Mus musculus: one gene and its partners. The protein of the gene in region 1 interacts with the protein of each later gene in a pairwise test. Links are inferred from orthologs where the notes say so. Each region holds a gene or a part of one and is shown in the gene's direction. Other genes may lie near its edges.

The links.
Region 2: the proteins of Rnf11 (region 1) and Rnf168 interact in binary tests that used the Homo sapiens proteins (3 or more experiments, as listed by UniProt). The link is inferred for Mus musculus from reciprocal best matches to the Homo sapiens genes RNF11 and RNF168.
Region 3: the proteins of Rnf11 (region 1) and Ubqln2 interact in binary tests that used the Homo sapiens proteins (3 or more experiments, as listed by UniProt). The link is inferred for Mus musculus from reciprocal best matches to the Homo sapiens genes RNF11 and UBQLN2.

Annotation. Positions count from the first base shown.
Region 1 is NC_000070.6:109,452,423-109,456,411, reverse strand, and holds the end of Rnf11 (RING finger protein 11), read left to right. Parts: intron 1-1,989; coding exon 1,990-2,161; 3' UTR 2,162-3,555; downstream 3,556-3,989. UniProt on the Homo sapiens protein: Essential component of a ubiquitin-editing protein complex, comprising also TNFAIP3, ITCH and TAX1BP1, that ensures the transient nature of inflammatory signaling pathways. Promotes the association of TNFAIP3 to RIPK1 after TNF stimulation.
Region 2 is NC_000082.6:32,275,672-32,280,337, forward strand, and holds the start of Rnf168 (E3 ubiquitin-protein ligase RNF168), read left to right. Parts: upstream 1-1,789; 5' UTR 1,790-2,437; coding exon 2,438-2,744; intron 2,745-4,666. UniProt on the Homo sapiens protein: E3 ubiquitin-protein ligase required for accumulation of repair proteins to sites of DNA damage. Acts with UBE2N/UBC13 to amplify the RNF8-dependent histone ubiquitination.
Region 3 is NC_000086.7:153,496,653-153,501,108, forward strand, and holds the start of Ubqln2 (ubiquilin-2), read left to right. Parts: upstream 1-1,579; 5' UTR 1,580-1,801; coding exon 1,802-3,718; 3' UTR 3,719-4,456. UniProt on the Homo sapiens protein: Plays an important role in the regulation of different protein degradation mechanisms and pathways including ubiquitin-proteasome system (UPS), autophagy and the endoplasmic reticulum-associated protein degradation (ERAD) pathway.

The DNA of each region.
Region 1 (3,989 bases):
CTAAACTCTGTAATTGTAGAGGTATAGTTGTTTTAACTTTTCAGAAATACTTGGGGCTGGTGAGATGGCTCAGTGGGTAAGAGCACCCGACTGCTCTTCCAAAGGTCCGAAGTTCAAATCCCAGCAACCACATGGTGGCTCACAACCACCCGTAATGAGATCTGATGCCCTCTTCTGGTGCGTCTGAAGACAGCTACAGTGTACTTACATATAATAAATAAATAAATAAATTAAAAAAAAAAAAAAAGAAATACTTAGCCAGGCGTGGTTGTGCACACCTTTAATCCTAGTATTTGGGAGGTAGAGGCATATGGATTTCTGAGGCCAGCCTGGTCTACACAGCAATCTCTAGGACAGCCAGGACTACATAAAGAAACCCTGTATCAGAAAAAAAAAGAAAAAGTGAAAAGAAATACTTTCTTAGGTATATGGCTGTCTTATTTTTCTCACTGTAGTAAAATAACTGACAAAGCTTTAAGGGAAAAAGGCTTTGTTCTGACTCATGAGTTCATGGAACTCTGTCATGGTAGGAAAAGCCTAGCAACAAGACTTAATCTTGTCTGTGTTGGTGGGTCTGTGAGATCACTGCTCACATTGTGCTAACAGACAAGCAGCTGAGAACTAAACTGGAAAAACAGAATGTTAGTAACTTTCTACTGCACTGACCAAAGCTACTTGGAGAAAAAAATAAGGTTATTTGGTTTATAGTCATCAAGGGAAGCTAAGAAAGAAACTGAGGCAGAGACCAGGGAGAAACCATGCTTCCTGGCTTACTCCCAATATGGTGTCTTCAACTTGCCTTTTTAGACTACCCAGGAACCACATGCCCAGAGGTTGCACTGCTCAGTGGTCCAGGCCCTCCCATAGCCATCATTAATTTAATTTAAAAGAAAAACCTCTGTAGATCTGAGTCCCCACAGGCCAATCTGGAGGAATTTTCTCAATTGTGGTTCTCTCCAAAAACTAGCACAAGATGGCTAATAGGCTCCAATTAAAGGGTTTTTTAAAACCTGCCAAACAATGTCATAAGGGGGTCCAAGTATCCATACACATAGGTCTATGGGTGATAGTTACAGCAACAATTAAGACTATTCAAGTTTTTAGTGACACAAGAGATCTTTCATAACTTAAGAAAGTAATTTTTTTCAAGCCTGATGAGTAATTTTATTGTCTTGATTTAATAGGGACAGCTATTCTAATTAAGAATGGCTTTACCAACAAACACAGACCAAATGGGCTTAATGTTTGTCTGTTTGAGCTATAGCACCATTTAATTAATACTGGCACTTAGGAGCAAAGTCTGTTTAGAGCATTGGTTTTGGATCTCTGTAGAATTGGGTTTCTTCAACCTGTAGAAAAGTGTAGTGGACTTGAAAGTGAATTAATGGAGACAGTTTTAACTTGGAGCACACACAGTAGACTGGATCAGTCATTCTCTTTTGCTTTTTTCTTTTGCTTTGTTTTTGAGACAGCCTTCTGTTATGCAGCCCTGGCTGGCCTAGAACTCTATGTAGATCAAGCTGGAGTAAAACTCAGAGAGATCCACCTACTTCTTTGTCCAGAATACTGATTTCAGTGTCCTACCACTCCAGGCATAGTCATTCTGTTTGTATTATTCCTGATTACTTTGAAAACTCTGTAAGGAAGCAATGGATGTAATTTCCTCCCTAAAGCTCACAGTAGATGTCTCTTGTAATGTGTAACAAGTTTAGGCACAGTATGGGTTTGATCCTTAACATAGTCTGTTTTTCTTTGCTCATTTTAGTTGCTTTCAATGCTTATAATAAATTAAGAAATCAAAATGAAATAATATGAATGTTTCAGTGCATGTTAGGAAAAAAATCAGTTTTCATGCTTTGGTAATGAGATAACAGGGAAACTTTAAAAAAAAGTTTTAGGTATATGAATATTTTGCTTGTGTGTATTTAGATTAACATTAACACTGTTTCACTTATGTGAAATTTTCTGATTTCTTCTTTGCTCCCTCAGGTGTGTGATCTGTATGATGGACTTTGTTTATGGGGACCCAATTCGATTTCTGCCGTGCATGCACATCTATCACCTGGACTGTATAGATGACTGGTTGATGAGATCCTTCACGTGCCCCTCCTGCATGGAGCCAGTGGATGCAGCACTGCTTTCATCCTATGAGACTAATTGAGCCAGGGTCTCTCGTCTGACTTCAAGTGAACCATCAGTTTTGGTGGTTTTGATCTTTTGTCACTGAGCCCAAAGAGCCAGGGATTAGGAATTAAGATCATGCACAAAAGTTTCCTAAAAATTCCTGGATGGCTGCAGATGTTGAGGGAAGTATGTGATATTTTAGAAATTTAGGGGGAAAGTAGGATGGATGGTATTTTTATGTAAAGCCTTGACCCAGTGTTTAAAATATAATTGTTATTAGACCTTGTTCTTGCTCCAGTACATAGGAATTGTGTAAAGTGTTACAGCAACTGTACATGTTTAAATTGTGTGTGTTGAAGCTTAGGAAAAAGATAGTTGTTATTTTTCCTAAATGAAATAAGTTTCTTCTCCCACCCAAATTCTTTTCTGAAAAGTTACTGACATTTGGGTCAAGGTTTTATTAAAAGCTACATTTTATAACACTGGCACAAAAAAAAAAAAATAGTAGTTTTAAGCTTGTTTGCACAGTTCTTTTTTTCCATTGGAAATGGAATTCATTGCCTTAGGTCTTTTTAAATAGTGTATTATTATCGTTGGGGCTGGCTCTATGCTTGAAAACCAGTTTATTTATAACCTGTTGTAAGTGCTATATTCTGTTTGCAGTTAGGAAATGCAGAATTCACAGTGATCTCCTAGCTTGTAAGCAAACTGAGATGCACTATCCCTTTTCTATTAAGAATGAGTTGATGTGTCAGGAAACAAGGCTAGCAAAGTGGATTTGATATCCCTTTCCTTGTGTGTCTTATCTTATTGTTTTGGTGGTTAATATGGTGATAATTGAAAGTCAAGTTGAAATTCAAATATTAATATTTCTGATTTGTTGAGCTTTGAATTATGCCACCATGCTTATATAAAAACGAAGGTGGCACCATGATGAAACTTAAAGAAACAGTTTCTCATCTGTAACAGTTTTGATTCTCTTTCCTGTGACCTCTTTCCCCACTGTCTGGAACCATAGCAAAAGGATACTGCATCTCTTGTTACTGTAGTGCTGAGGTTATTGAAGTTACAGAAACACATCTGGTGTGTTTCCTAGAAAAGTACCTGTTCAGTCTTGCTAGGTGACTGACAGGAGAGGCAAATGTGTTATGTTTTGCACACCAATGCAGCAGGGTTTGTATAACCACATGACTTCATAGTTGTGATCTCAAAGGAACTTCTCCTTTATTTTTTCTTGCAATTAATGTAAGAATACTCTAAATCTCTGCACTTCTGAAGGATTAGAGGTAGAAATGGTCTAGTAAAGTGTAATGTTTTATTCATTTAGCATGTGTTTATTTTCCTTATGTTCTCCAGGTGATTCGTTCCTTCCACTCAGTGATATTGTGGTTAAAAAATGATGAGCAGAAGCGCTCTCCACCTTACAAATGAGAAATGTTCTTTTATATTGTGTTGAGTACTTGACTAACACTTTTTTACATACAAAAGTTTCTTGAAGGTTCTTCATAATTGCGGTGTAGAAGAAATTATGTCATAAATAGTTAATTGACATTGAGTTGAAGCAGTCATACATTGCTTAGATTCCCAGTAGATCCCATGATGGAAATATTTAAAGATGAACTTGGAAATACTGAAATTAGACTATCAGGTTCTGTTAAATTGTCTCGTATATCTTGCTTAATTTCTGTTCATTAATTTATATCCATCCAATTATAAAGTAAATTTGGAGGAAACAGCTGAAGTTGTGCCATATTTTTAGTGATAACTCTTTTTAAATTCTTATGTTTTCTAATTATACACTTGTGTGTCATCAAGTATTATAGTCAGACTTTTTTCCCAGGTTCTCAAAATTTGTAAATGTACTT
Region 2 (4,666 bases), on another chromosome or scaffold:
TTGGTTCACCACGCTGGACTTGGTTGGAATCTCTTCTTTGGTCTGTCTTTGCCCTGTCTAGGCGAAACAGACATTTCTTTATATTTCCCTAGGAAGAGTCAGACTGCTTGCTCAATTTGAACATTTTGAATTTTGAATGCCTTTTGAAGGGCAATTAATCAATTGAAAGCATGAAATAATAGGGGTGGAGAGATGACTCAGTGGCTGAGAGCATGTATAGTTCTTCCAGAGGACCAGAGTTCCACTCCCAGCACCTATGTCAGTGTCTCAGCCACAGCTCCAGGACAGTCTTGCTACTTTCTGCCAAGCTTGTGGGCCTTAAGTCGTTAGAAAGGAAGCTGAAGACCTCAGTGGACTGTGACACAGAAAGAAGTATAAATGCCAAGTTGTCACAGATCTGAGGAACAGAAACCATAACCAAGGCAACTCTTTCTTTTTTTTCTCTCTCTTTTTTTGGTTTGGTTTTTCTGAGACAGGGTTTCTCTGTATAGCCCTGGCTGTCCTGGATCTCACTTTGTAGACCAGGCTGGGATTGAACTCAGAAATCCACCTGCCTCTGCCTCCCGAGTGCTGGGATTAAAGGCGTGTGCCACCACGCCTGGCCACAAGGCAACTCTTATGACAATATTTAATCAGGGCTGGCTTACAAATTGAGAGGTTCAATCCATTATCAAGGTGCCAGAGCATGGCAACATCCAGGCAGGCATGGTGCAGGAGGAGCTGAGAGTTCTACATTTTCATCTGAAGGCTGCTAGCAGAATACTGCTTCCAGGCAGCTAGGATGAGGGTCTTAAAGCCCACACCCATAGTGACTCACCTACTCCAACTGGGCCACACCTTCTAATAGTCCCATTCCCTGGGCCAAGGATATGCAAACCATCACAGACTCCAACTCCAGGTCCTCCTGTTTCTGCCTCTGCCTTTGCTACCTAAATGCCTCAATTACAAGACACACGTGTCCATGCCTAGTTCAGAGGTCCTTCCTTCCTTCCTTCCTTCCTTTTTGAAACAGAGTCTCTTACTAAACTCACTGTATAGACCAGGCTGATCTCTACCTCACAGAGACCCTCCTGCCTCTGCCTGCAATGTTTTGGGAACCAGCTGACCAATTGAGGAAGGGTCTCATATAGCCCAGGTTGACCTGGAACCAGTTATGTAGCCAAGGCTAGTTTATAATAATCCTTTTGTGACTACTTCCCAAATGCTGGGATTGATTATAGAAATGGGTCTCTTGTTGAGTTCTTCAGACTCCACATACCAAACCCAATAGGCATTTACTCATGCTAAAGTCTGGGGTAGAGGGCCCAAGCCAAGCACCCCCAAAACAAGAGGGAAAGCAATAACAGCCAAATCTCTACATTGCTGTTTTAGCCAGTACCATAAGGATATCACCCCCACCTTATTTAACCTTTACAAGGATTCTTTGAAACCACAGGTGTAACTCTTTGTTGCTGCTCTCCTTGAGCGTCACTTGTCTATAAGGCCAATATCTGCTGCTCATTCTATAAAATGCTAGTGTTGCAAATAAATGCTAAGAAAAATCTTTAAGGTAAATTTGTTGTAATTTCTTCTTTTAGCACTAAGAACTTTAGAAAGCTTTGTTAGGAGAAGGGTAGCCTAAAGAATACTGAAAGAATAATTACAAAAATTCCTGTTCGGATCTTGGTTTAGAGAGTTACTTGAGTAAGCAAGATTCTGCAGCCTACAGTAGCCGAGCGACCAAAAGCGGGAGGAGTTGCTACTAGCAGGCTAGGCGGGAACGCAGACGCAGCTCCCGGAAGTCCCGCCCGACTGAGCGGTTCCTTGGGGGAAGACGTGCCGTTTTGGCGGGGAATTGTGACGTCCGTGGAGCCCGGGTACCTGCTCCGGCCGCGGCCAGTAGACCGATTGGCAGGACAGCGGGTGCGAGCGGCTGGGTCTCGGGACCCGGGGGGTACCGCGAGGTGTTCCAGAAGCTGGAGCGTGGGCACTGGAGGGCTGCCTCCACCGCAACGGCGAGACGGAAGTCCCGCGGCGGCCCGAGCCCGGATTCCGGGCGGTACCGGGTGCTCTGGGAGCGGCGGTGCCCGGGCTTCCGGCTCTGGCAAGCCCGGCCGCCTCGCGCGTAGAGGCGGGTCCTCACCGCGTAAGAAGGGGAGCTGGATGAGCGCTTGTGTGGCGCGGGGAGACAGAACCACTCTCCGCCCCGAGGCCGCCGACTCCCGGAGGAACGTTCTTTCATTCCCTTGCTGGACTCAGGGCATAACTGTTGACCTGACATCACAGCTCCTGCTTGTCTCGGGCCCGTGGGAACTCAGGCCTTCTGGATCTCAGTCCGCTGCTGTGTGTGAGAGTAAACACCAAACGGCTCGCTGCTTTTCTCCGTTCTGGGCGTGATTAGGCGAAAGACGACTTTAGTCCCTTTCTGATTTTAACGTTGGGTAGGTCTCATTAGCATATGAAGATGGCTGCACCTAAAACCTCCATCCCTTCCTTAGCCGAATGTCAGTGCGGGATCTGTATGGAAATCCTCCTAGAGCCTGTAACCCTACCTTGCAACCACACGCTCTGTAACCCATGCTTCCAGTCCACTGTTGAAAAGGCCAATCTATGCTGTCCCTTCTGTCGTCGCCGGGTCTCTTCGTGGACTCGGTACCATACCCGAAGAAATTCTCTGGTCAATACAGACCTGTGGGAGATTATTCAAAAACACTATGCAAAGGAATGCAAGCTTAGAATCTCTGGACAAGAATCAAAGGAAATCAGTAAGTAAAATTAAGCATGTTTATTGGGTAAAACGGCCCAAAATCCCTTTGAAAGGGAACCATTTTTGTTTTTGCTTTTCGAGAAAGGGTTCCTCTGTGTTGCCCTGGCTGTCCTGGAACTCACAATGTAGATCAGGCTGGCCTCGAACCCAGAGATCCACCTACCTCTGCTTCCTGAGTTCTGGGATTAAAGGTATGAGCCACCATCGCAGGGCTCGAACCATCATTTTCTAATTTAAAGAAAAAGAAAAAGAAGGCTAAATAGTCTGAATCGTGAGGATTTGTGGTTTTATAAGCCCTGCCCACACATCAGTTAAAGTCAAGGACAGAGTTACATCACGTGTAGTAATGGTCAAGTTGTGTTCATCTGCTGTGAATTAGGGTTTTTTTTTTTTTTTTAACATTTTTTTAGACATGTTTTGAGACACAGTTTTATTACTGTGTAGCATGGGATAGCCTTAGCCTCACAAATACTGGAGTTGCAGGTGTGCTATTACACACCTGTCCTTTATAATGTAGTAGTATTAGTGAGGGTTGCCCTTTATAAGGGCAGAATGGTAAGTATTTTTGTGGACTATATAGTCTACTGAAGACACTTGGTGAGCTCTGCCACTGTAGAACAAAAGCCACCGTAGTCAATACATTAATTTACATTACCCTTTGTAAATGAAGATAGTGCCTGTGTTTCCATAAAACTTTATGAAAAACAAAAAGTGGGGGGGCAGATTTGTCCTGTCAATGAATCATGGCTAAATAGCCCCTGTCTTAGAATATCACTATTACTGTTCTTAAGAACAATTCTTTATCTGTGGAGGTAGCAGAATTAAATAATTGCAGATACTTCGGAAGGGAAAACTTGAGATTTCTTATTTTTTAAAATATGTATTTAGAGTGTGTGAATGTAAGTGCCTCATGTGCATGTGGTGCAGAAGAGGCAGGAGAACTAGAACTGAGTGACAAAGTTATAGGTTGTCATGTGAGTACTTGGAACCAACCAAACCCAGGTACTCTGGAAGAACAGTAAGCATTCTTTTTTTTTTTTGAGACAGGGTTTCTCTGTGTAGCTCACTCTGTAGAGACCAGGCTGGCCTCGAACTCAGAAATCCTTCTGCCTCTGCCTCCCAAGTGCTTGAGTTAAAGGCGAAAATTTAATTTTTTGTAACCCAATTGAAAGATTTTTTTTGAATATATAGTTCTGTTTTCAGGTGGCTCAAATATGAAAAGGAAGGCCCTTCCTCTTAATCGCCTTTGAAATATGAGAACATATTAGTACAAACTTGTAAAATGTATAAAAATAGTAGGACAAAAAGGTAGAAGTGTCCAAGTGACATCAATGGATGGATAAACTAAATGTACATATCTGCAACAGAATATATTGCTCTTTCATTAAATGGAATTGTTAAAGTTGTAATGTGGGATGAAGGCTTTGTTCTAGCTGTCATTACTCAGGTGATTCCATATGGAGAGCATTAACGACATCATTGGATCAGTCCACTGATAAGTTTATCCCAGCTGGGCTGTTAGGTGAGGCCTGTCTGGAGGAAGTATACTGGAAATGCCTGTGACAGGTTTGCTTTTTGACTGCAGTTGAAGTGGGCACCTCTCCTCTACCAAGCTTTTTCACAATCATGTTTCTGCCTTGCACAGGCATAAAACCATAAATGCAAACCTCTGAACGAGCCAAACTAAATCTTTTCTCTCTCAAGTTATTTATGTGATGCATTTTGCCATAGCAAAACACAGGAACACAATTGACAGGTTCCAGATCATGGAAATAAAGAGGTGCAGACCAGCCTAGCCTGAAATCATAACAGTCTACCTGTTTCTTCCTTCAAGCTAGGACAAGAGGCCTGTGTTACTGTAAGACCTGGGGTAGGCCACAAATCCCAGACGAGCCCCCGCATATAAGACCCCCCCCCAAG
Region 3 (4,456 bases), on another chromosome or scaffold:
GCATATATAATGATTTTTGTACTAGTCATGGGTATAATGGCCCTGTATTTTGTTTTACACTGAGATTTATTAAGGTACTGTGACGTAATGATTTTGAAATGCTGTTAAATCATCTCTAGGTTTTTGTATGGGAAAAGGATTTTCTGTGTTCAAAGCAAGAGAAATAAATGATTTCAGAATAATTTCTTCTATAATTCAGGTTTTCTATAACAGTAATACTCCATTTTTTGTTTTCTTTATTTAATCCATAATGATTATGTTAATTTCTGCCACGACTATTGTGTGCCTGTCAATTTTTACCTTTACTCTTGTCTGAAAATAATATTTGTAGTTTTTAAAAATCATAAACGCAATGCATATTTATTCATCAAATTCACAATCTTATAAAAATAGAAAATAAGAATTATTTACAATTTCAGCTCTTACTAATAATTACCTTTATCATAATGGAGTATAGCCTTTCAGATTTTTTTCACACATACAGTCTACAAGCTTTTTGATGCTGACACCTACACACATGTATTGTTTCCATTTGTTAAGAAAACCATAAAAAATAACCCCAAATATCGTCTATTATTTTCTCCTAACTACAGTGCATTTAATGTATTTTTTAGAGACATGTAATACTACATGAATTAGCCACCATCTTTTAGACACAGGGATTATTTTATTGTATGGCAAAATCATAGTATTCCTGTCACAGACCCATTTAACTAGCTAAACGCTATTTTTTAAAATGCCACGTTGTTTATATATACTTTTCGAATTGATTATTAGGTCTTTCTAAACAAAGGTGCAAATCCTTAAAATGTCCATTTGTATTTTCAAACTGCCCCATTACAACAATTCATACTACGACTAGCATGAGAGTGCATTTTCTCGGCTCCTGGTCAACAAGGTTTAACGTTCTTTTTTTTTTTTTTATCGCTGCCAATATGATAAACCCGAAGGAAAAATCTCATTGTGTTTATTTGAATCCCTTTGATTAGGAGCGAGCCTCATCTTTTCAGAAGCCTGTTGGCCGTTTCTCGGCTTCTTTTGTAAAATGCTCGCTCCCGCCATGCCTTCCCTTCCCCCAACCGGGCGCTCATTCTCCCTTTTTGCTTTGTCAGAGTTCTTTACTATTCATTTTTCGTCCTTTGCCTGGGATCGGTTCAATTCAGGCTTTCATCCTTTCACTGCCTCCCAGATTGCGAACCCACATTCTCCATTGGTCTTTCAGTGGCTGCTAAAGAAGCTGCCTCCCTCTTCCTCCTCCTGGCCTCCTCCCTTCCCCCCTCGCCTCGCCCGCCTCGCCTTGGTCCCCTGGCTTTTCTCTCCAGCCTCCTTCCTTTTCCTTCTCTTCCCCCCTCTCTTTGTTTATTTCTCCCTCCCTCTCCCTCTCCCTCCCTCCGCCCCCCCTCCTCTGCAGGGCAGGAGTTTTGCGCTCGGCCGCGAGACGCTCGCTGGGCTGGCGCCGCGTCAGCAGGGGGCGGGGCGCGGCCGGGGGCGGGGCGGGGCGGGGCGGGGCGGGAGCGCGGGCGCCGCAGCTGCAGGAGTCGCTGGGAGTGCGCGCGGGCAGATCACAAGGCGGCGGCAGCGGAGACGGCCTGCAGGACCTGCTCTCTCAGCCCTCAGCCGAGGCCTACGCCGAGCCGAGTGCGCAGCCGACGACCGGGAGGAGCCGCAGCCTTCAACTCTGAGGTACTGTGATCCGCGCTGCCCGCCGGGCCGCCCCAGTCCGCTGCTGCGGCACCTCCTTCCCTCGCGCCCTCTTCGCTCGCCAGCGCCTTCCCTGTGAGCCTGCGTCACCGCGGCCGCCATGGCTGAGAACGGCGAGAGCAGCGGCCCCCCGCGCCCCTCCCGCGGCCCTGCGGCGGCCCCAGGCGCGGCCAGCCCGCCGGCCGAGCCCAAAATCATCAAAGTCACTGTGAAGACCCCCAAAGAGAAGGAGGAGTTCGCGGTGCCCGAGAACAGCACCGTGCAGCAGTTCAAGGAAGCGATTTCCAAACGCTTCAAATCGCAGACCGATCAGCTCGTGCTGATTTTCGCCGGAAAGATCCTGAAAGATCAAGATACCTTGATGCAGCATGGCATCCATGATGGACTGACTGTTCACCTGGTTATCAAAAGCCAGAACCGTCCGCAGGGCCAGGCCACCACGCAGCCCAGCACGACTGCGGGAACGAGCACGACGACCACGACCACCACCACGGCGGCGGCGCCGGCGGCGACGACATCATCGGCTCCCAGGAGTAGCTCCACACCTACCACCACGAATAGCAGCTCCTTTGGGCTGGGAAGCCTTTCCAGCCTTAGTAACCTGGGCTTGAACTCGCCCAACTTCACCGAGCTTCAGAACCAGATGCAGCAGCAGCTCCTGGCCAGCCCTGAGATGATGATCCAGATCATGGAAAATCCCTTTGTTCAGAGCATGCTTTCGAATCCTGATCTGATGAGGCAGCTCATCATGGCCAATCCACAGATGCAACAATTGATCCAGAGAAACCCAGAAATCAGCCACCTACTGAACAACCCAGATATAATGAGGCAGACGCTGGAAATCGCCAGGAATCCTGCCATGATGCAAGAGATGATGCGAAATCAAGACCTGGCTCTCAGTAATCTCGAAAGCATCCCAGGTGGCTACAATGCTCTGCGGCGCATGTACACTGACATTCAAGAACCTATGCTGAATGCCGCACAGGAGCAGTTTGGGGGCAACCCGTTTGCCACGGTGGGGAGCAGTTCCACCTCAGGGGAAGGTACTCAGCCCTCCCGCACGGAGAATCGTGATCCGCTGCCCAATCCTTGGGCACCACCGCCAACAACCCAGACGGCTGCGACCACCACCACCACCACGACCACAAGCAGTGGCAGTGGCTCTGGCAGCAGCTCCAGCAGCACCACCGCCGGGAACACCATGGCTGCAGCTAATTACGTGGCTAGCATCTTCAGCACCCCAGGAATGCAGAGCCTGCTGCAGCAGATAACTGAGAATCCCCAGCTGATTCAGAATATGCTGTCTGCGCCCTACATGCGGAGCATGATGCAGTCGCTGAGCCAGAATCCAGATATGGCGGCCCAGATGATGCTGAGTAGCCCGCTGTTCACTTCGAATCCTCAGCTGCAGGAGCAGATGCGTCCACAGCTCCCGAATTTCCTGCAGCAGATGCAGAATCCAGAAACCATCGCGGCCATGTCAAACCCGAGAGCGATGCAAGCGCTAATGCAGATCCAGCAGGGGCTACAGACTCTAGCCACTGAAGCACCTGGCCTCATTCCCAGCTTCGCTCCAGGTGTGGGGATGGGAGTGCTGGGAACCGCCATAACCCCTGTGGGCCCAGTCACTCCCATAGGGCCCATCGGCCCTATAGTTCCTTTCACCCCCATAGGCCCCATCGGGCCTATAGGACCCACTGGCCCTGCAAGCTCCCCCGGCTCCACCGGCACTGGCATCCCGCCTGCAACCACTGTGTCCAGCTCTGCACCTACTGAAACCATAAGTCCAACCTCGGAATCTGGACCCAACCAGCAGTTCATTCAACAAATGGTGCAGGCTCTCACTGGAGGAAGCCCTCCACAGCCGCCGAATCCTGAAGTGAGATTTCAGCAGCAACTGGAACAGCTCAACGCCATGGGGTTCTTAAACCGCGAAGCAAACTTGCAGGCCCTAATAGCAACAGGAGGCGACATCAACGCGGCCATTGAGAGGCTGCTGGGCTCTCAGCCATCCTAATTACGTTTCTGTACCTTGAAAAAAAATGTATCTTATTTTTGATAATGGCTCTTAAATCTTTAAACACACAAAATTGTGCTTTACTTTTATTTTGATTCTTTTAAATCTGTCTACCTATAAATCTAATAGGATGCATTTTAAGGTGGAGTCCCTCCCTCCCTCCCTCCCTCCCTCCCTGCTCCTCCTCCCCCCACCCTCTCCCTTCCCTTCCAGCCTGCCCTCTCCCCTCTTTGTTTCCTTCATTCCTTTCTTTTCTTCTTTTGATTTCCTTCCTTCTCTGATTTGAATGGTGGGAATCAATACTGTTTCACTCAAAGGTGTTGCATGCAAACACTTCTCTTTATTCTGCATTTATTGTGATTTTTGGAAACAGGTATCAGCCTTCACAGTTGGGTGAACAAGTTTTGTCCTACAGATGTCCAGTTTATTTGCATTTTAAACATTAGCCTATGATAGTAATTTAATGTAGAATGAAGATATTAAAAAAACAGAAGCAAATTATTTGAAGCTCTCTAATTTGTGGTAAAATATTGCTTATTGTGACTTTGGCATGTATTTTTGCTAGCAAATGCTGTAAGATTTATACCATTCATTGATCGTTTTTGCTATTTGTACACAGTACAGTAAGCACAATTGGAATTGTACATCTAGAAGTATTACTGTAGAATCTCTGAGCAGAATATGTGTAACCAAAATAAGAAAGAATATAAGAAATATTCCTGAAGCTAGGTATGTCTC